2 linked regions of the Xenopus tropicalis genome follow. The protein of the gene in region 1 purifies or fractionates together with the protein of each later gene. This does not show direct contact. Links are inferred from orthologs where the notes say so. Each region holds a gene or a part of one and is shown on either strand. Other genes may lie near its edges.

The links.
Region 2: the proteins of polr3gl (region 1) and crcp purify together in Homo sapiens (co-immunoprecipitation; 3 studies listed by BioGRID and IntAct, counting the BioPlex papers as one, with this or other methods). This does not show direct contact. The link is inferred for Xenopus tropicalis from reciprocal best matches to the Homo sapiens genes POLR3GL and CRCP.

Annotation. Positions count from the first base shown.
Region 1 is NC_030684.2:128,425,358-128,436,072, forward strand, and holds the start of polr3gl (DNA-directed RNA polymerase III subunit RPC7-like), read left to right. Parts: upstream 1-4,359; 5' UTR 4,360-4,388; intron 4,389-6,002; 5' UTR 6,003-6,137; intron 6,138-8,222; 5' UTR 8,223-8,259; coding exon 8,260-8,379; intron 8,380-10,021; coding exon 10,022-10,151; intron 10,152-10,715. UniProt on the Homo sapiens protein: DNA-dependent RNA polymerase catalyzes the transcription of DNA into RNA using the four ribonucleoside triphosphates as substrates. Specific peripheric component of RNA polymerase III which synthesizes small RNAs, such as 5S rRNA and tRNAs.
Region 2 is NC_030678.2:97,799,783-97,809,593, reverse strand, and holds the end of crcp (DNA-directed RNA polymerase III subunit RPC9), read left to right. Parts: intron 1-509; coding exon of another isoform or gene 510-519; exon of another isoform or gene 520-2,365; intron 2,366-4,832; coding exon 4,833-4,970; 3' UTR 4,971-5,804; downstream 5,805-9,811. UniProt on the Homo sapiens protein: DNA-dependent RNA polymerase catalyzes the transcription of DNA into RNA using the four ribonucleoside triphosphates as substrates.

The sequences.
Region 1 (10,715 bases):
ACCACTGTAGTGTGCCGCGAGATGTTGCCTGGTGTGCCGTAGGCAGGGCACCAATGTACTAGGGGGGCACTGCTCTTGGCACCAATGTACTAGGGGGGCACTGCTGCTGGGCACCAATGTACTAGGGGGCACTGCTCTTGGCACCAATGTACTAGGGGGGCACTGCTGCTGGGCACCAATGTACTAGGGGGGCACAGCTGCTGGGCACCAATGTACTAGGGGGGCACTGCTCTTGGCACCAATGTACTAGGGGGGCACTGCTGCTGGGCACAGAGTTAAATTTTTTAACATTTTCTAATGGTGGTGTGCCTCGTGATTTTTTTCATGAAACAAGTGTGCCTTTGTCCAAAAAAGGTTGAAAAACACTGCACTAGAGACACAAAGTGGACAAACCAGTTTACCCCAGGGGGTCTGGCAAAATCCCTCCCTTTCCCGGATGAAAGTTTTAATTGTCTGGAAAGTGGGAGTAGTTGTGGTTCTTCACAGCCTCTGGGGTTTACCCAGGCTGAGGGCAGGACAACCCTCTTTGGCTCCTCCTTGGACCTGTAGGGAGACTCTCTCCAACTGCTGATTGGATCCCCTACCCCAAGGAGGGCTGTGTACTGCTGGAAGTCTGCAAGGATATTCTCAGGTACTGTTAATTTGTGGGTTGGTTTAAAGAGATTCTGTCAACATTTTTACTTCTAAATTACACTGTTTACATAGCAAATAATTCCCTCTGCCATTTCTTGAACCAACAAATGTATTTTTAGCTTTAATATTGGTGTGTAGGCGCCATCTCAGTGCATTGTGCCTGAGTCTGAGCTTTCAGCCAGCGCTACACATTAGAACTGCTTTCAGCTAACCTATTGTTTCTCCTACTCCCATGTAACTGGAGGAGTCCCAAGCCGGACTTGGATTTCTTACTATTGAGTGCTATTCTGATACCTACTAGGGGGCTGCTATCTTGCTCCCTTCCCATTATTCTGCTGATCGGCTGCTGGGAGGGGGGGGATATCACTCCAACTTGCAGCGCAGCAGTAAAGTGTGACTGAAGTTTATCAGAGCACAGGTCACATGGCTGAAGGCACCTGGGAAAAGAAGAATATGGCTAGCCCCATGTGAAATTTCAAAATAAAATTTCATTTTATGAAAAAAAAAATTTTCAAGTATTCCTTTAAGGTGAACGCTGCCCCGCAGATTGTACCAAGAGAACAGTGTGCTTCTAACCTGTGCCAAGTCTTTAATATGAACTCTGCACTGCTGATCTGTGACCTGCTCAAGCAGGGCTCTGTACAGTTAATTTAGGGACACCACTGGGGGCGCTGTACCACTGGACTATTTGACAGAAGTGGGCTGTACACCTTATTGATTGCAACTGGTTCTTGCTTTTTTTTGTCCCCCCCTAGCCATTCTACCCTGTTTGAACCCCTAAAACAGTGATCCCCAACCAGTGGCTCAGGGGTAACATGTTGCTCCCCAACCCCTTGGATGTTGCTCTCAGTGCCCCCAAACCAGGTAGTTATTTTTGAATTCCTGACTTGGGGGCAAGTTTTGGTTGAATAAAAACAAGATTTACTACCAAATAAAGCCCCTGTAAGCTGATAGGGTGCATAGAGGCTGCCTAATAGCCAATCACAGCCCTTATTTGGCTCCTCCATTAACTTTTATGTTTGTGTTGCTCTCCAAGTCTTTTAACATTTGACTGTGGCTCAAACCTCAAAGAAAGGTTGGGGATCCCTGCCATAAAATAAAGTGTGGAGTGTCGCTGATCTGTGTCAGTTTCCAACATGTAAGATTAGAGGGGGTGATAGAGGCCTCCCTCACAGAGAACATCATAGTGCCGCAGTTAAAAAAAGAGCCTAAAAAACCTATTTTTGGGTCATTTTTACTAATCGTCTTCACCTAAAATAGCCCTTTTTGTCCATGAACTGTGAAAAACCTGCCCCTGGGAGGCTCCCACACCATTAGCCCTTTTAGTGCCATAGGACGTAGATTCTACGTCCTGGGTAGCAAAGGACCAAAGTGCCACAGGACGTAGAATCTACGTCCTACAGCACTATCAGGTTTACAAGCGCTGCGCTGGCTTTTAAAGCAGCGCAGCGCTTGTAAACCCTTCACAACCCCCTAGGCAACGAGCAAAGACAGTCATACTCACCGATCCGGTCCCCCGATCGCGTCGCCAGCCAATGACAGCAGTGGACACGCGATGATGACGTGTCCACTGCTGTCCCTTTAAATAGCGCCGCCTACTGTCGGCTCCTCATTCCTGCTGCGCACTTCGGACCTGATGGAGCTCCCCTGCTGCCTTCCTGCCAGATTGGTCGCCCCTGATCGCCTGCCTGCCTTGGGTAAGCTGAACTACAACTCTCTACCACTGTTTATTTTGCTTATTTCTATCTCAACTGTCTAAAATTTTTTTTTTTTTTCAATTTTTTCTTCTATCTTTGTCATTATTACACTTTTGCACACATACACACTTATTTACAACTTTCCCAAGCACACACAGACACTTACACACACACTTACACTTTTTTTTTTTTTTCTATCTTTCTTTTCTCTTCTTTCTTTCTTTGCTTTCTTTGGCAGTCTTTTTTTTTTTACTAAAACTTTATTTCTGATCTTGCTCTATAATTATCTGATTTATTTGGTTGCATTTTAGTGTTTTTTTGGCATTTTCATAATTGATTTGTTTTTTTATTATTGTATTGTATTGTAACTTTTTTTATTGCTATTGGGTGCTGAATTTGCAGTGACGTTGGTGGATCCAGGGCTCTGACCACCAATTTCATTGCAATTATTGTTCTTCTGTTGGTTTAGGTGGTTTTATTGGATTTTACTGATTTTATGGTGTTTTATCTTTGCATTGTTCTTTATTGTGTGTTTAGTGCCCCAAAAAGGTTGCTTTTGCAGTGACATTGGTGGATCCAGGGCTCTGACCACCGATTTCATCAGGGCTTTTACAAACGACAAAAAAAATTGTGCAAAATTAACTTTTCTATGGAAAAAAACCTCAAAATATACAGAAATTTTTCATAATTTTTTTTTTTTTTTTACATATTTCACCCAAAATACACATCATATCTCCAGAAAAGTTATAAAATTTGGTATGTATGTCGAAGCCCAATTAGTGACGAAAAAAACGATATATAATTTCCCTAGTTTCATGGAGGTTTTCCTACCAAAAAACATTGTTAAAGTGAATGAGTACAAAATGCTTAAAAAACGTCTGGCACTGGGGGGAACCGAAATGACGAATTCGGCTGGCACTTAAAGGGTTAAAATAACCCAAAAACTAAAGCTTATTGTTAATATGTATTTCACCTATTATCTTCTCGTATATCAGACCATAATCTACTCCTACATTGTAAAATATATTGCTCTTAGGCTTAACATAAAACAACAAAAAGGAGCAGCTTGTTTTGGGGTAACAGGAACAGCCGCTTTATTGAAACCATTTGTGGGAAAACCCTGTCAGCACCTAGAACGTTCTACTCCAGAATCAACACCTTGAAGTTAGAACAAATTAACTGTAAATTGTTACTTTTGGGTAATTTCACCCATTGTCTACTTAAAGTGCCCCTGGCTTCCTTCCAAATTGTAAAAAAATATGGCTCATTTGCACTGAAACTCTTCTTTTAAGCCAAATTAATAGAAAAGTATGAATAAAATTCCTTTAAAAAAAAAAAAAAAAAAAAGCCCTTTTTATGTCAAATGTAGGAAAAGATTGACTATTGGACTAGTGCCTTTACCCCTCAAGTAAAAAAGTGACCAAGCCATTAATAGCAGTTAGCATAGGCTTAGTCTTGGCCAAACACTATGACCTAAAGCCCTGGGCAAGTAGGAAAGACTAGTAATCCCAACAGAAAGAATATTTTTTCCCTCGACAAAATAGCCTCATAACTAACACTTGTGAGTAGCCTCCTGTTATCCCAACCCCACTACTGCGCATTACTAACAGCTTGCACTTCTGCACAACTATCACACACATTCACACTGCTCGCCATTCTCGCAATGCCGCTATACGATGCCTCACCCCCTTATATAATGTTAAAGTGACGTCATAATCTCGCGAGATGAGACTTGCGACTTCCGAGAGCTAAAATACAAATGTCAAGGACGCAGCAGAATTTTAAAACCTTGATACGGGAATGCGGCCCGTGTTATAAAAATCGCGACTGCTGGCCGGTATGTTTGCATTTTCTTGCGCAATAAAGGTTTTCGCAGCGCCTTGTCACTATGGCAACTGCCAGTTCCCAATGACTTGTTCCGCCGTGCTTCACCCCGCCCCCAATCTCCTCAGTCATTGGCTGGTGGTACCACACGGCGGTAGCCTTGTGGGCGTGGCTATTGTGTACGTCATCACTATGCGCTATAAAAGTTGCATTCTGCGGGTGGGGAAGCGTGCAGTAAGACGAAAAATACCTATAATATCAATGTTATAAACATTTGTGTAGAAAATGATGATTTCGGCTTTGTTGCTGTAGCGCTACAACGAAGTAGTGTTCCCTCTAGTCTCTTTTCAAATTATATTTTGTCTGCACATTTGGCAAATTCTGTAGGCACAGAAGGAGAAGGGTTGCAATAAGAAAAAAAAAATCTTTGTGTATCGCACTTTGTTGCGTGCAATGGCATTTTTACCAGTCAGGTGGCAACCCTCATTGGGGCCCATGGCTTAGAGGGAACTCTATTTTATTTATAATTGCTGATTTGGCACAGATCAACCTGTAGAGCTGCTTTATTTCCTGTCAGCTGATCTCTGAGGGAGCACACAGCCCATCACTAAATGGCGGCTCAAGGGAAAGGATGTAAAAGGGAAATATGTACTGATATATATATTCCAGTTTGGGGAGATTCTTTAATAGGTCACTTAATATAATATAATCTGTCTATTGGTTAATTTTTCATTCTGGGGGTAAACTTACTTCCATGACTCCCATGTCAGGACTGGAGTTCCCACTAGACTTTAGATTGTTTACTATGTTTATGGCCTGTTCATTATTAAGCCATGTGTGGCCACAACACAGCATACATGCAGCACACACTGTGCAGAACATACAACTGCATTAAAGGAGAAGGAAAGGCTAATAAAGAGTTAATCTCAAGCTGCAGGCATACCGTCGGTTCTCTCAATAGTGCCCTTAAGTCTCCCTATATTTCTCCCGTTCAGATGATCAGAAGCCTCATAGGAAAAAAAAAAACTGAGATTTGTAATGCCTCGCTCCTGCACCAAGACCAGTGTACATGCTCAGTTAGTAAGACTATGAGGAAGCTTCCTGCTGATTGGCGCAGATCCTCATTCCTAAAGCTGGCCATACACGGGTGGCGATATCAGGGAGGCATGTAGGTGAATTCGATCATTTGGCCCTGGGGCCAAACGATCGAATTCTGCACGCGGCAATGGGGCAGTCGGTTCGGGGACTGCATCAACGAGCCGATGCGGTCCCCGATCCGACGGGATTTTCTAACCTGGCCGATCGTTATCTGGCCAATTTCAGGCCAGATATCGGTCGGCCATTCCGCTCGTTTCTGCCCCTACACGGGCCGATAAGCTGCCGAGTCGGTCCAAGGGACCGATATCGGCAGCTTCTATCGGCCGTGTATGGGGACCTTAAGGGGGAGGGAAGTGAGTTCTTAGCATTCTTGAGGGAGGAGGGAGCAGGAGAGAGCTGCGTGTCTGTAGCAGAGGAAAACAGACAAGAAATCCTGTGTTTCTTTTGATAGAGGACTCAGTGCAGCGTTTCTGTGAGTGCTTATGGCTGTATTTACATAGACCTTTCTGATATTAGTTTTTTACCTTTCCTTTTCCTTTAAAGGCCTTACTTAAAATTCAAGACTTAAAAATGAGGGCATGTACCCACATATTTTCCTACCCCTGGTTTATATGCTGCGTGCTGCTGTCATGTATATGGGGTAAACATCAAATGGCAACTGCTGTAACCAAGTTTTTTTATTCAGAGATGGGGGTAGGAATAGTATTTTCACTAATTAGCAACTTACACGAAGTCCTTTTATGTTTTTAGGCTCTTTGAGACCCGAAATTAAACATGTCGAAAGCACCAAACAGCTGACATGGGAAGAGGACAAGGATTCCCCACCTGGTAATGCAGTGCTGACCATGTAGGAAAGTGGCAGCTCTGAGGCACTTTTTTGTAAAGGTAATTGCACGCATATACACTGTTAGCTCATTATGCTGATACGGTGCTCTCCTATTCTGGAAGCATTGCTGTCTAATCTTTTAGATACAGACAGATGGTGCTTAAACATTGCATGGAGCACCTTTGTACAACATTCACAATTCTAACAGTTCACATTAAAAGAACAAGCTTTGCCATATACATAGTTAACAAATAATATGCAGGTGAAGTTATATTCACCTCAGAATCATCCTTCTGCTGATTCTTAACTTCTGCACAGACCCTGTGCTTTGGGAGGGGGTCAGTGACCCCTATAAACCCTACAGTCTTTTTTACTTTATTATATGATGTCATGGATAGTGCTTGCAGTGTACTTAACTCCTATTGGCTGTGTCTCCTGTCAGTCTGACACTGCTTCCTGTGCCTGTGATAGAGTGCTGCAAATCTATCATAACAGTATGTTATATTTATGATTTGCTAAGTCTATTTGCCTATGCCATTTAAAGTGATAAATTAACCAACTTTTCAATTTATGCAACTGGTTAGAGTTCAAAAGCAACCAGTTAATTGGTCCAAAAGTAAAGGCAAAGCCTGGACGTGATGATTTACGCATATAGGAAAGGGATCCCCAAGCTTTTTTTACTCATGAGCCACAGTCAAATGTAAAAAGACTTGAGGAGCAACACAAGCACCATAACAGTTCATGGAGGAGCCAAATAAGGGTTGTGATTGGCTATTAGGCAGCCTCTATGCACACTATCAGCTTACAGGGGCTTTATTTGGTAGTAAATTCTGTTTTATTCAACCAAAACTTGCCCCCAAGTCAGGAATTCAAAAATAACTCCCTGGTTTGGGGGCACTGGGAGCAACATCCAAGGGGTTTGGTGAGAAATATGTTGGCCCCGAGCCACTGGTTGGGGATCACTGATATAGGAAAGTTCTCAGTGTGTCAGGTTCTAAATAGGCCACTCCCATCCCTTCAGAAAACTGATCAGAGAGACAGAATGAGGACTGATTTAAAGGTATAAAAAGTAGCTTTTTCAGTGGCCTTTGTACTTTTTTTATGTAAAATGCTGCAAGCATTGTTGGTGGTTTACTAAAAATTAGACATTGAAGGCAAACAACCCCTTTAAAGGGAACGTTAGCCCAAGTGATACCTTATATTACCAAAAGTATCTGGACACCTACCTGTCCATTATTTAATGAATTTAAACAAAACAAAAAAAGAAGTGGTCCTGCTGCTCCAGGTCCTTAGCTCAGGGAAGCCGACAGGCTATCATAACAAAGTAAAAATAGATGATGAGCACTAAAAGTTAAACCCAGTGTTGGATGACCACAAGTATCTGGACATCTACCTGTCCACTGTCTCTGTTAATTAAAACAAAACAAAACAGAAGGGCACCAAAGCACAAATCTATGTAGAAGACATACCAATTCAAGAAAGCAGTCTGGGTGCTACTGACCTTTAGCTCAGGGAAGCAGAAAGACCATAACAAAGCAAAAATAGGTGATGGGTAATCCAATTTATCCACAAAGGGCACAAAATAGTAGTCAAAATCTCTGTTTATAACATTATCTCTACAACCTTACACATATTGTGCCCAAAAACACACTTAATCATAGTTCCACATTATTTTAATGAAACCAAAAGTATAGTCCATCTTACCTGAAGAAACACAGGTATTTGGCCAGTTGCAGCCAAGAAAAGCAGATGTGGCAATGGGTCGCTGCCTTGCTGGGTTCCTTTTCCTTACTTGCCACCTCCCCTTGCTCCTGGATGAGTTTACTTCTGAGTTTATGACGACCACATTTTTGGTCTGATGATAAAGCTTCCAGTTTTATAGTGAGAAGTGGGTCCAAGTGGGTAGAAATACAAGTCTGTGGGTTTGGTGGAATAGCCCTTTGAGATCTTTAGCCAAGGGTATTAATATGAATATGTTATCTGTTATACCAACCCATATTCTTCTGGGAAGCCTTTTTACTGGATGGTGGAACATTGTTGGATTGCTATACACTACATGAAGGAAGTCATGAGATATATACAAAAACAAAATATACAACAACATATACAAAATGTCAGGTGATGTTGATATCTCTTATACCCAGGCTAGGTTATTCTACTGTTTCTTGGGCATAGCACAAGATGGCTGGAAAAGGCAGAGGTAGCGGTCGGGGCCAACTGACCTTTAATGTAGAAGCTGTTGGAATTACCAGAGGGGAAGCACTGCCGCCACCCACTCTCCAACCTCCCCCGTTGTTCCCGGTAAGTTAAGCTCTATACAGCTTTGGTATTAAAGGAAAAGTAACACTAAAAATTTTTAAGTAAAAAAATCTATTCTACCCTGCTCCAATAATTGCCCTATCCTGCACACCGTTTATTATTTTGAATGCTTTATTAGAAAATACCTGCTAAAACCTGGCTTCCGGTCATTTGAAATAAGGCGATGCAGAAGCAGAATTGATCGATCACAGCCTGACTCCTTTGATCGATCCTTGCCTGACTCCTTCCTATACAGAAGGAAGGCTAGGATTGATCGTCGCGTAGTGGATTCTGCTTCTACATCGCCGTATCGCCTTATTTCAAATGACCGGAAGCCGGGTTTTAGCAGAAATTTTCTAATAAAGCATTCAAAATAATAAATGGTGTGCAGGATAGGGCAATTATTGGAGCAGGGTAGAATAGATTTTTTACTTACTTTCCTTTAAAGTGTACATGCTATGTATAGAAATGTACCAAAATAGGCATGAGTGGGGAACATATTGTAACTAAACCACAACTCCCCATATTTTTGACTGCTGATATGTGTTATTGGAGTCAGCAGACTGAATTTCAGCAAGAAGCAGTGAACTACAGGCTCCTGATCCATATCTTAGCATTTTAGTATCTGTTTTCCCTGTCTGCCCATTGTGCACTGCCTTCTATTGCTTTCTGACTTTTTGCCTGTTGGGTGGCAGGATCAGGGTCTGCATTTTTCATTACAGTGCCCAGTTGCCCACCCCTGTGCCTGCCATCCACCTGTTTGCTACTATGGGCCCTTTACAAGTGAGATACATGTGGCCTTCCCTAAGGTATAATGGCCTTTTAGTTATACTGTTATGTTTATAGAATATACATAGGCTTATTTTTCATTTGTCATGGGTTTAAATGCTACTTACCTGGATAGTATTAGGTCTTTATTCATTTTTTTGTACTAATAGGTTTTATTATTTTTTCCTTACTTTCCTAACTTTTTTCACTTGAAAGAAAACCCAGCCATGCTGTGTGTCAGTAGTGCATTGCATACTCATGCTGGAATCAGACTGGACTTTACCTGTCAGTGACTGACAGTAGGGTGTGTTGTTTACAGCTGGGAAACATGTTAGGTTGCGGAACTCAAAAGAAATTCATGCAGCAACTCTATGTACAACAGTTTTGTTAAACATTCCCTGCAGTTTCTTTTTAAAGGACAAGGAATGGTTAAATTACTGGGGGGGGGGGGGCACTCCCTTCAGTGATTATAATGACTTACCTGATACTCTGGGCCGGTGGTCCATTTAGTATAAAACTGCTCTGCCCTGGGGTACTCTGAGCAAGCACCACAGAACAATCCTCTTCTTTCACTTCTTCATTCCTCAATCACCCAGGGTGCATGTGTGCATGTGTGTGAAAAAGCAAACTTGGCTTTTCACTTTACTGAAGTGAAGAAGAAACAAGATGTAGATAATGCAGTGGTGCTAGGTCTGAAGTACCCCAGGCTGCTGCAGTTTTCTGCTAACAGGAGCACCAGCGTGGGGTATCAGGTAAGTAATTATAATTACTGGGGGGTGCCTAACATTTGGCACCCCCTCTGTGATTTCATCTTTTCTTCTCCATTAAGAGCTATACACTGTGTATATCATCCTACTCTCTTTGTTGTTTTGTTCAGAACCTGGAATACAAACCAGTACCCCTGCAGACAGGGGAGGAGGTGGAATATATGCTGGCGTTGAAACAAGAACTCCGAGGAGCCATGAAGACTCTCCCGTACTTCATCAAGCCCGCTGCTCCCAAGAAAGGTGTGTTTAGCTTGGCTCTATTTGGTTGCCCTAAAAAGCACTATATCATTTATTGTTGCAAGGGCAAGTAAAGCAATAGAATCATATGGGCGTGTGGTTTTTAATGCAAATGCCTGATTTTTTACCAGCCCCCCATGCAGTTTTACTTAATCTCCCCGGTCTACTTCTCATGCATGTCTGTGACTCCCCAGGCACACTACCCCCAGTTATGTTATGTGCATGCCCATGTCGTCTCGCTCACTCTGGGAACTTGCACCCTAGGTTGCTTCACTTCACAGTTGCTCCCCATTGGTTAAGGTGAGGAGTTGGCGTAAACTGGCAGCACTTGAAAGCTGAACATGCTATCCTTAAACATGTAGGAAAATAGAAGGGTAAACAAGAACATGGCTAGCAATACATTTACATTAACTAACAATACAGTAAAATACCTTTGGTTCAGCAGCCCTATAACTGCAATGATCCATGCTTTCGAATTTGTATACAGCAACCTCCCATTCTTGGGGTCTTGTTAGGCCATCTTTTGAGTGTCAGTGGCACTGCACATGCTCAGTGTGCTGTTGGATA
Region 2 (9,811 bases), on another chromosome or scaffold:
ATTTCCAAGTCTTACATCCCCTGGAAATTTCCAGTATTCTTAGCGTCCAGATCTGATTTTCAGCAAATGCTTAAAGATAAGTGGAAAATCTTCCTAAAGGATGATGCAATTCACTTCAACAATCCAACTCTCTTTTGGGACACATGGAAAGCATTCATTAGAGGGGAAATCACTTCATTCAGATCCCAATTTACTAAAAAATTGAACTCAAGATAACTGGATCTTAGTAACAAACAAAAATAAGCCTACATTGCTTTCAAATCAACCCCATCTCCAGACAACCGTAAGGAATTTGAAAATTCCGTAAAGGGCAACAAAGCTAATAAACTCCTAGCCAATATGACAAAAAATTGGTCAAAGGCTCATAAAATTAGCGCTATCAGGTCAACTGATGATAAATTCACTCATAACCCATTGGAGATTGCCGAGACTTTCAGGAAATATTACGAGATCTTATACTCCTCTACTAATTCAACAATTCATAACTTTTCCCAAAATATCTCAAACAGATCTGGATAACTTAAACTCTCCAATTACTGAAGAAGAAGTAAGATTTACGATATCATCACTGAAGAAATACAAAGCTGGAGGATCAGATGGTCTATCTGGACCTTTCTATAAGTGTTTACTTAATGAAATTTCACCTTTTCTTAGAGAATTATATAATTTCATCATTAATCAAAAGCAATTTTTACCCTCCAGTCTCAATTCATCCAACCATTACATCCTCGTACAGACCCATTGCTCAAATCAACTCCCAAAGATCATCTCCCCAGAACAAAGTGGATTCGTGAAGGGGAGATCGGGAACTAAAAACTTAAGAACCTTAATTAAAGTCATCTACTCAGCTAAAACTAATAAAATTCCAATCTCATTGGTGGGTATAGATGCAGAGAAAGCTTTTGACAATATTTGCTGGGACTACATATTTGACGCGCTAGAAGCTTTTGGTTTTCAAGGTCATTTCATTGACTTAATTCATTTATTATATTCAGCCCCAACTACTCAGATATTGGCAGCAATTATTTAGAGTTGCGTTTGCAGTTTGGAAACTTATGCATAAGTCATACAAATCCAGTTATATCTCGACTCCATACCTACCTCTAGTGAAGATTTCTACACTATCCAGCTCATGGTATCCTCCTATTTCTACCATATGGAAACAAAAAGGAATGCAGCATATAAAAGATATTATTTCACCATCGTTTAATACAATTCTTGATTGGAAAGACTTCATCAATAAATATCAAATTTATGAAAAAGAAAAATTACATTATCTCCAAATTGCTCATTGGTTTCATCACCATATCCATCTAGATTCTTTATCAATGTATAATCCACTTCTTACTACTGCTCTGGATATGCTTATGGCTTCTCAATCCTGTAACAGAATCCGATCTATACAAACTTTAATATGGAATAAGTCTCAAATGTCATCCATTGGATTTGACTGCAAAAAAATTGTCCACCTATCTTCATACAGAAATTTCACCGGAAGTCTTAACCTATTGTATAAAGCGTTTTGAAAAACTCATTCATACGGAAGTCTGGAGGGAACAAAATTATAGTCTTATTCATCTAGCATATAAAGGTTTTAATTTTGACTCTAAGAATAAGAATTTCCTTAATAAATGTCCTAAATGTAGCATACCGCTTCCAAATATAATTAATCTATTATGGGAATGCCCTCATATCAGTAGTTTTTGGAAAGAACTTGAGAGCCATCTAAAATCTACTTTGGGTTCTAATTACCATCTGACTTCAAAATGCGCCCTATTAAACTTCTCAGAAGATTTAATGCAAGTGTCTCATTCATTTCAACCTAAATTAGGAAACATTTCCTACTCCATAAACTACTTGAACCTTATACTAGCTGCAGCAAAAAGGATTCTCTTCAAGAAATGGATAGATTCAAACCCACCATTTTTTATCAGAGGTCATTACTGAGTTACAAGTTTTATGTAAAAATGAAGCCATTGCCTTCAAATTTAGTAACACAAAAAACCATACAAGATACTTGTCTAAATGGAAACTTCATATAAATACCCTTTGTCCCAAGGATAGATCTCATTTGGACTCATTACTCTATGTACCATAGTTCCATGAATGCTTACAAACTCTTACTAGCCTGTCTAATTGTAATAAGAATTACTATATTTAATTTTATTCTTAGACACATGCTTAATAGCGATCTATGTTATTCCTTCATTATCTTTTCATACCTTGTCATTTGTAAAATACTGTTCTGAAATGTTCACTGAACTGTATTGTTTATATTATGTCATTATTAATCCTTGTTGGGATTTTGCTTATTTTCTCAATGTTTCTTGTAATTATCTAATAATAATAATAAAAAAAAGTTGTTCAGCTGTGTCACATTTATTTTACTTAAACAATCGCTTACTAAGGCTGATGCCACACGTGGCGTTTTTCCGCTGCGTTTTTTCTCAGCCTAAAAACGCAGCACAACCCACACAGCCCCTGACTATGGCGTTTTTCAGCCTAGTACTGGTGACGTAAGCAAATCCCGTTTCCATGGTGCTAATAGTGCCTAAGGCTGATGCCACACGTGGCGTTTTTCCGCTGCGTATTTTCTAATTCTCTCGGCGACTGAAAAACGCCTGATATCATCATCCATAGAAATAACTTGAAAAGACGCGAAGCAAACCACACAATGCCAAAATACGCTAGAAAACACCTTGGCACGGATTTTTCAAGCGTTGGCCGAAATACGCCAGTATTTGCAAAGCAAGCTATTCCTATGCATACGCAAAGGCAGCTGCCAGACCTAGCGGAAATACACAGCGTTTTTTGCTATTTCACACTATTAGCACCATGGAAACGGGATTTGCTTACGTCACCAGTACTAGGGTGAAAAACGCCATAGTCAGGGGCTGTGTGGGTTGCGCAGTGTTTTTAGGCTGAGAAAAAACGCAGCGGAAAAACGCCACGTGTGGCATCAGCCTAAGGCTGATGCCACACGGAAAAATGTATTTCCATACGCTCCTACCTGTGCCTGCACCACAATGAATGAGATACGCTCAGGTGCAGGCACATGTAGCCGATATCCGCCGAAGATACGAAGTCTTTCGTTTTTTGGCGGATACCGGCTACATGTGTCTGCACCCGAGTGTATCTCATTCATTCAGGTGCAGGCACAGGTAGGAGCGTATGGCAATATTTTCGGCAAGCGTTTTTCTGCTTGCCAAAAATATACGCCATACACTATGGGGCAGATTTATCAAAACACAAGTTCGAATCCCGAATGGGAAAAATTCGGATTGGAAACGAAAATTTCTGAAGATCGCAAATGTCACAAAAATGCTTAAGAAAAAATCGTATTAGTCACAATAATATTGTATTAGCGATCCGAATGTCACGAAATGTTCGTACCGAACGATTATAAACAGCGGCAAAACCGTTCTGATTTTTTCACGCTAAAAATATGAAAAAGTCACGGAAAATACGATTGGACTGATCGAACAAATGCTTGGAGCGTTTGTGGATAAGTAAATGTGCCCCTATGTGTGACATCAGCCTTAGGTCTATGCTCACAGGGCTTATTATATTATAGGGCAAAATAATGCTTGCTGAGAATCAGCCCTCTCCACTCTTAAAATCATTAAGTTGTACCTTCACCTGGAAGCACCAAATTTGCTCAGGTACAGGCACACACAGTGTACTTCTGGGCGAAACTGCTCGAATATGCAGTTTCAGCAGAAATAATATGGGTGCGCCTACACTCAGGCAGATTCAATGCTTCTGGGTGCATGCACAACTTAAGGATTTTAAGAGTGGAGGGGCTGATTCTTGCCAAGTGTTTTTCCACTTGCTGAGAATCAGACCCATGTGGCATAGCCCTTAAACCAGGGGTAGGGAACCTATGGCTCGGGAGCCAGATGTGGCTCTTTTGATGGCTGCATCTGGCTCACTGCCAAATCTTTAATTAAAAAATAACGGGGGTGTGGCCTGCGCTCGCCGGATAGAAGACCTGTTCTAAGCCTTAACACGTCTTATATCCGCCAAGCGCAGACCACGCCCTCCTCAGCATCGCATCCGGCATCCTTGGCACCCACCCTACCCTGCCCCTGCGCTCGGCGGATAGAAGACGTGTTCTAAGCCTTTGAACACGTCTTCTATCCGCCAAGCGCAGGCTACGCCCTCTTCTGCATCGCATCCGCATCCTCGGGACCTACCCTACCTTGCCCCGCAGCATCCGCGGCCAAACATATTGTATGGCTCTCACGGAATTACATTTTAAAATATGTGGTGTTTATGGCTCTCTCAGCCAAAAAGGTTCCTGACCCCTGCCTTAAACCCTCAGATACATTCATTTAGCAAATGGGTAGCAAACTCGTCCTTAATGGTTGCGTGCAATAGAAGCCTTTTTATAACAGAAGCTATTCAAATGCTTGACATTTGTTCAATTGTCCCCTCATGCTAGAGGAAGGTAACAAAAAAAGGTAAAGAAATACTGCCATAGGAAGATTGGAAGGGTGTGAATTTAGCACAGTGGAGATAGCTGAAGTTTGCAACGCTACACTTTTAGCTGTAACTGTCCACAGAGCAGCAATGGACATGTTATTTAGTACTGATATTGTATAGTGCTTTGAAATTATTTAGAATATGGCAAACCTCAAACACTATTTTGAAGGTATCAAGCCTGCAGAATGGTACTTAATAATAAGCTTTCTTTGCAGTTTGCAACATCATTGGATAGGAAGTAGTAGGTTTTGCTGAGCATGATAAGTAATGTTGTGGTAGAGCTGTATTATTTTTTTTTACTCATTTTGCTGTAAATTCACTTTATCAAAACTCTTATTACAAAACAGATGGTGGAGGAGAGCGAAGAAAGGCTAACAGAGGAACAAATTGAGCAGCTAATTCAGACAACAAGAAGCATTCTTCCTGGAGACCCAGAGGCGGAAATGAAAGAGCAGGCAGAACTGGGCAATGACGAAAACCAGTAGAGATAAAGGGCATGTGTTCAGTTAATCCACAAACCACAGGGTATCTAAATGTTACGTCTATATATGCACAGCCTCTTAATAGATTAACTGGGCTCAGTTACAACAGTTTCCAAAGTCTATTGACCTTTTAAGCTCTGATAAGGTTAAAACAACAGAAGTGCTGTCACTGAAGAGATGCTAAAATTGCTCTTTACAGATGATGCAACTAAAATGAGGGGCCCTTTAATTATGCTGTGAAAAGTGAAATTAACCAAAGAAATGGTGTAAAAAGCCATGTGAAATAAATAGCGAATTTATAAAGGTGTCTTTTTACATTGTCGGAACACCAGATTTGACACCATATCTTACGCCACTTCCGACCTTGTGTAAGTTGCAGTGGAAGTCACTGAAAGAAAAAAAACATTACACTGTTTTGTTATACGGTGAAACCTGTTTATTTGGCACCGTTCTTTACACCGCATAATAAATCTGCCCTTAAATGTATGTGACATACACAACCAGGCTGTAGTACAAGGTGGAAACCAACACCTAATAGGTGAATGATTTCATTTTGTCAGTTTGGCTTATCCACTGGCACTGTACAAACTTTTTAGAATCTGATTTGTTTGTAAACATGATTTAAATGGGTTAAAAATGTACTTTCAGGGAATGCAGTTCCTTATTTGAATGAATATTTATTTCTTTTATTCTATTTTCATTCTTTTGACATTATTATTTGTATTATTTGTTATATTTCTACCATGGTATAGCATGTTTTTTTATAGTTAGATGCTATTTGTGGTACATTGCTTTCAATTGTACTTATTTACACATTAAACTTGAAATTAAAACACATTCTCTTTTAATAAGCATTGTTTAATGAATGCAGTCATGATCAACTGGGTATCATAACTGTGAAGAATTTTTATCACCCGGATATTGACTGGAGTTCTGTGGGTTGTTACAAAACAGAAAGATGTAGCAGCTGGTTCTCCAACTAGTAAATATGCTCTGTTGCATCTGATGATCTCTAACAACATCTAGTGTAAAAGTGCAAGTACCAATCACTAAAATGCATGCAAAATTGTGCACACTGCAATGCTGTTAACAAAGTACATGTGTCTATACATGTGCTGAGTTCAGCCTTCTTAATTTTGTGTAGTCCTCCTCAGGGTTTAAGGGCTCTGGCACACGGGGAGATTAGTCGCCCGCGGCAAAACTCCCTGTTCGCGGGCGACTAATCTCCCCGTGTGCCAGAGCCCTTAACTGACAGTGCCACAATGCAAGGGAGGCCTGGTGGTATCTTTTCAATGTCAATTTTTAAAGAGGATCTAAATCTAAATAGAAAATGTGTGTACAGAGTGCCTCTGGGAAATTGCAGTTTATAATTAACATTGTATTTTTAAGTGGATTCACATTTTTGCAGTCCCTTTACCCTTCTGGACACCTACCTCCATTTTCTGTCTTTGCAATTACTGTACATCTGTATAGTACATTTTGTTTTGTGAATTTAAATTCACCTTTGAGTTAACTTTTAGTATGGTGCAGGGAGTAAAATTCTTAGACAATTTGACAATTTGAATTTTTTTAGTTTTTCAATTTTTTTGCTTTTTGTTCAGTATCTCTCCAGTTAGAATTTCAGCAGCTCTTAGGTTGCTAGGGTCCCAATTACCTTAGCAACCAGGAAGTGGTTTGAATGAGAGACAGAAATATGAATAGAGGAGGGCTTTAATAGTAAGATAAGGAATACAAACTAACAATAACAATAACATTTTAGCCGTTGAGATCATTTTGAAGGTTGGAAAGAGTCACAAAAAGAAGGGAAACCAGCACTTTAAATTCCATGTTTGTTTTACCCACTAGGTTTGGCAATAACTGATGAACTATATTTCTTCTCTTGCACGTTCCTCTTCTTTTTTAACACTCTTTCTTGATTTGCCATGTTACCCCCCTTCCTTGGGTGTTATTCAGTATTAAAGCTAACAGTGGTCAACCTGCAGCTGTATTTTGATAGCCTTCTAATTCAGTTAGAGACAAAATATCCATTACTTTTTTCCCATGACTTGGAGGACCACAGGGGGTTCATTTATTATTGGTTTGCATTGCTGCAGCTTTTTTATTTTGTATGTTACATGTTAAAGCAGAACTATTTAAGTTTCAACTCATGGGAAAAAGAAATATTTCAAACATAATCAATACAAAATTCTAAACCATTTCTGAAATAATCGAGTTTCTGTTCCCTGTCCCCCACAAGTAGAAGTAACTTTTTCATATTATTTTCGATGGACTGTTAGCTCTGATGTGCAATAACTCTGTTCACCATTTACCTTGCATGTGAAGTGATGGATTACTTGGGGCGGGGCAGTAAAGATCACGTTTCAGAAATGCTACAATATGTTTAAATGATAATACAGGTATGGGACCTGTTATCCAGAATGTTGGGACCTGGGGTTTTCTGGATAAGGGATCTTTCTGAAATTTGGATCTCCATAACTTAAGTCTGTTAAAAATCATTTAAGTATTCAATGAACCCAATTGGCTTGTTTTGCCTCCAATAAGGGTTAATTATATCTTAGTTGAGATCAAGTACAAGGTTCTAAATTATTATGACAGAGAAAAAGGAAATCATTTTAAAAAATTAGAATTATTTGCTTATAATGGAGTCTATGGGAGATGGCCTTTCTGTAATTTGGAACTTTCTGGATAAGGGATCCCATACCTGTATATGGAAAGTTTATTATTTCAGTGAGATAAAGCTGAAAAGCATTACATTTTTGTTTTTTGCTAGGTTTCCCTTAAACGGTATGTAAACCCTGCTGCACTGCTTAACCAAACTTTTCTCAGTTGTTACTGGACTACAAATACCAGAATAATGTAACATATTATGAAGCAAGAAGCATTCCGGGAGCTGTAGTGCAGGGTTAAAAAGCAATATTGCACAATAAAATGTTTCCTGAACTCATCCCCAAATCTCCACAGTGAGAAACTGCTTTAAAATGAAAAAATCCTCCAATGAGAATCCCAGCTGATCTGTGTAAATCTGGCTCTCTGTACTTTGTTCCCGTAATTAGAGTTGGAATCTTTAAGCATTTCACAGCATTGAACAAATCTGTCCTTTATCTCCATGTCTGATTCTAGTACAGGTATCATATAATAAAAGTGGTCAGTTCTTTTGCATCTATAAGAAATTCTTTATCAGTATAATTCTCATTGGTGAATATTTCATTATGTTTTTTGGCAACTTCTATAACAAAACTAGGGGACACAGTGGGGCAGCGTTATGACTGGGTTTGCAACCCCTTTAAGCCTTGTGCCTGCTAGGGTAAGGGATAAGTGTACATAAATTGTACATAAATGCAATTACTAGTATGTTACTCTGTTCAAAAATAAGCAATATGTAGTGGAAACCATACTTTTTAATATGCAAACAAACTGCAGAATGTCCAGATCAAATTCTTGTGGCTTCAGGTGTCTGCGCTCTCTGAAATATACAAACTAATCAAAATCAGGAAATAATGTGCAGAGTTTACATTAAAATAATAAGTGCACACAAAACCCACGCATTGTTATCATAACCCTTGTAGCTCTGTCTATAGCAGGGACAGGGACACAAAACGAAATATACAGAATGGTCATTGTTATTGTGCTTGATGAAAATTAGGTAATGTTATGATTTTTACCTGCGCTGCTCGTGATCAGATTCATTTCTTAACAATTCCACAGCGGGACAAGCCCTGAGGCAAGAAACATAACACTGGGTATTTTTTAACAAATTACTAACCGCATAGTTTGGTTTCCCACAAGAAAGCATTTATCACTGAGTGCCAATTACAAGATACTTTTCTTTGAATATAGCTGACTGGAATATTTATTACTGCATATGTGGGCAAATGCATTTAGCCTTATTTACTAAAAACATACAAAGCTACAGATGGGACAGGTAAGCCTGTGATACTAATGCCCAGGCCAGGAGACACATCCAAGAAATGCAACCATGCAGGGACGTGCCACCTATTAAAAAAATATGTCTGGAAGTAAATAGTTAGGAGCACCATGTAAGTGGTATAGTGGTGTGGCAATTTTATAACTTACACTTTTTTGATAATGTATGCTCTTGTACATATACTGTTAAAGCAGTGCTGTCCAACTGAAGGCCCGCAGACCAGAGGTGGCCCTCCAAATGATTTTTATGGCCCTCAGTCTGCTCTAGGGCTCCATAGACTTCAATATATGATATCATCATTTTAAGTGAATCTGGCCCTCTAACATGCTGTATGAGATATAGTTGGCCCACTACATGAAACAAGTTGGACAGCACTGTGTTAGAGTATAAAATATGTAAATCATGGCATAGTGCAAAGATGGAGGAGAAAGCTGCAGGGGAATGGGATTTAGCCTTTGCGTGTTGTTTTCAGCTTCCAATTCAGGTCTTTTATGTAAACCCTGCTGCACTGCAATGCTCAACCAAAGTTGTTGCTGGACTACAAATCCCTGAATAATGTACCATATAATGAAGGGTGAGATATGCTGGGAGCTGTAGTCTAGCAACACCAGGGTTGTATTCTTAAAGCAATATTGCACACAAAAAAAAATTTCTTAACCTTTCCTCAAATCTTTTGCTTTAAAATGTAAAAAATCCTCCAATGAGAATCCCAGCAGATCTGTGTAAATCTGTCTCCTTTTTCTTTCTTCCTGCAGTTGAAGTTGGAAGCATTAAGCACAGTTTCATAGCACTGAACAAGTCTGTCCTTTATCCCTGTGTCTGATCCCAGTGTCATATAATGAAGGTTAAAATTATTGTAATTGTAAGATAACAGCAAGATGCCTGACATAGTGCTTAGTGCATAGTGCAGCATTCTCAC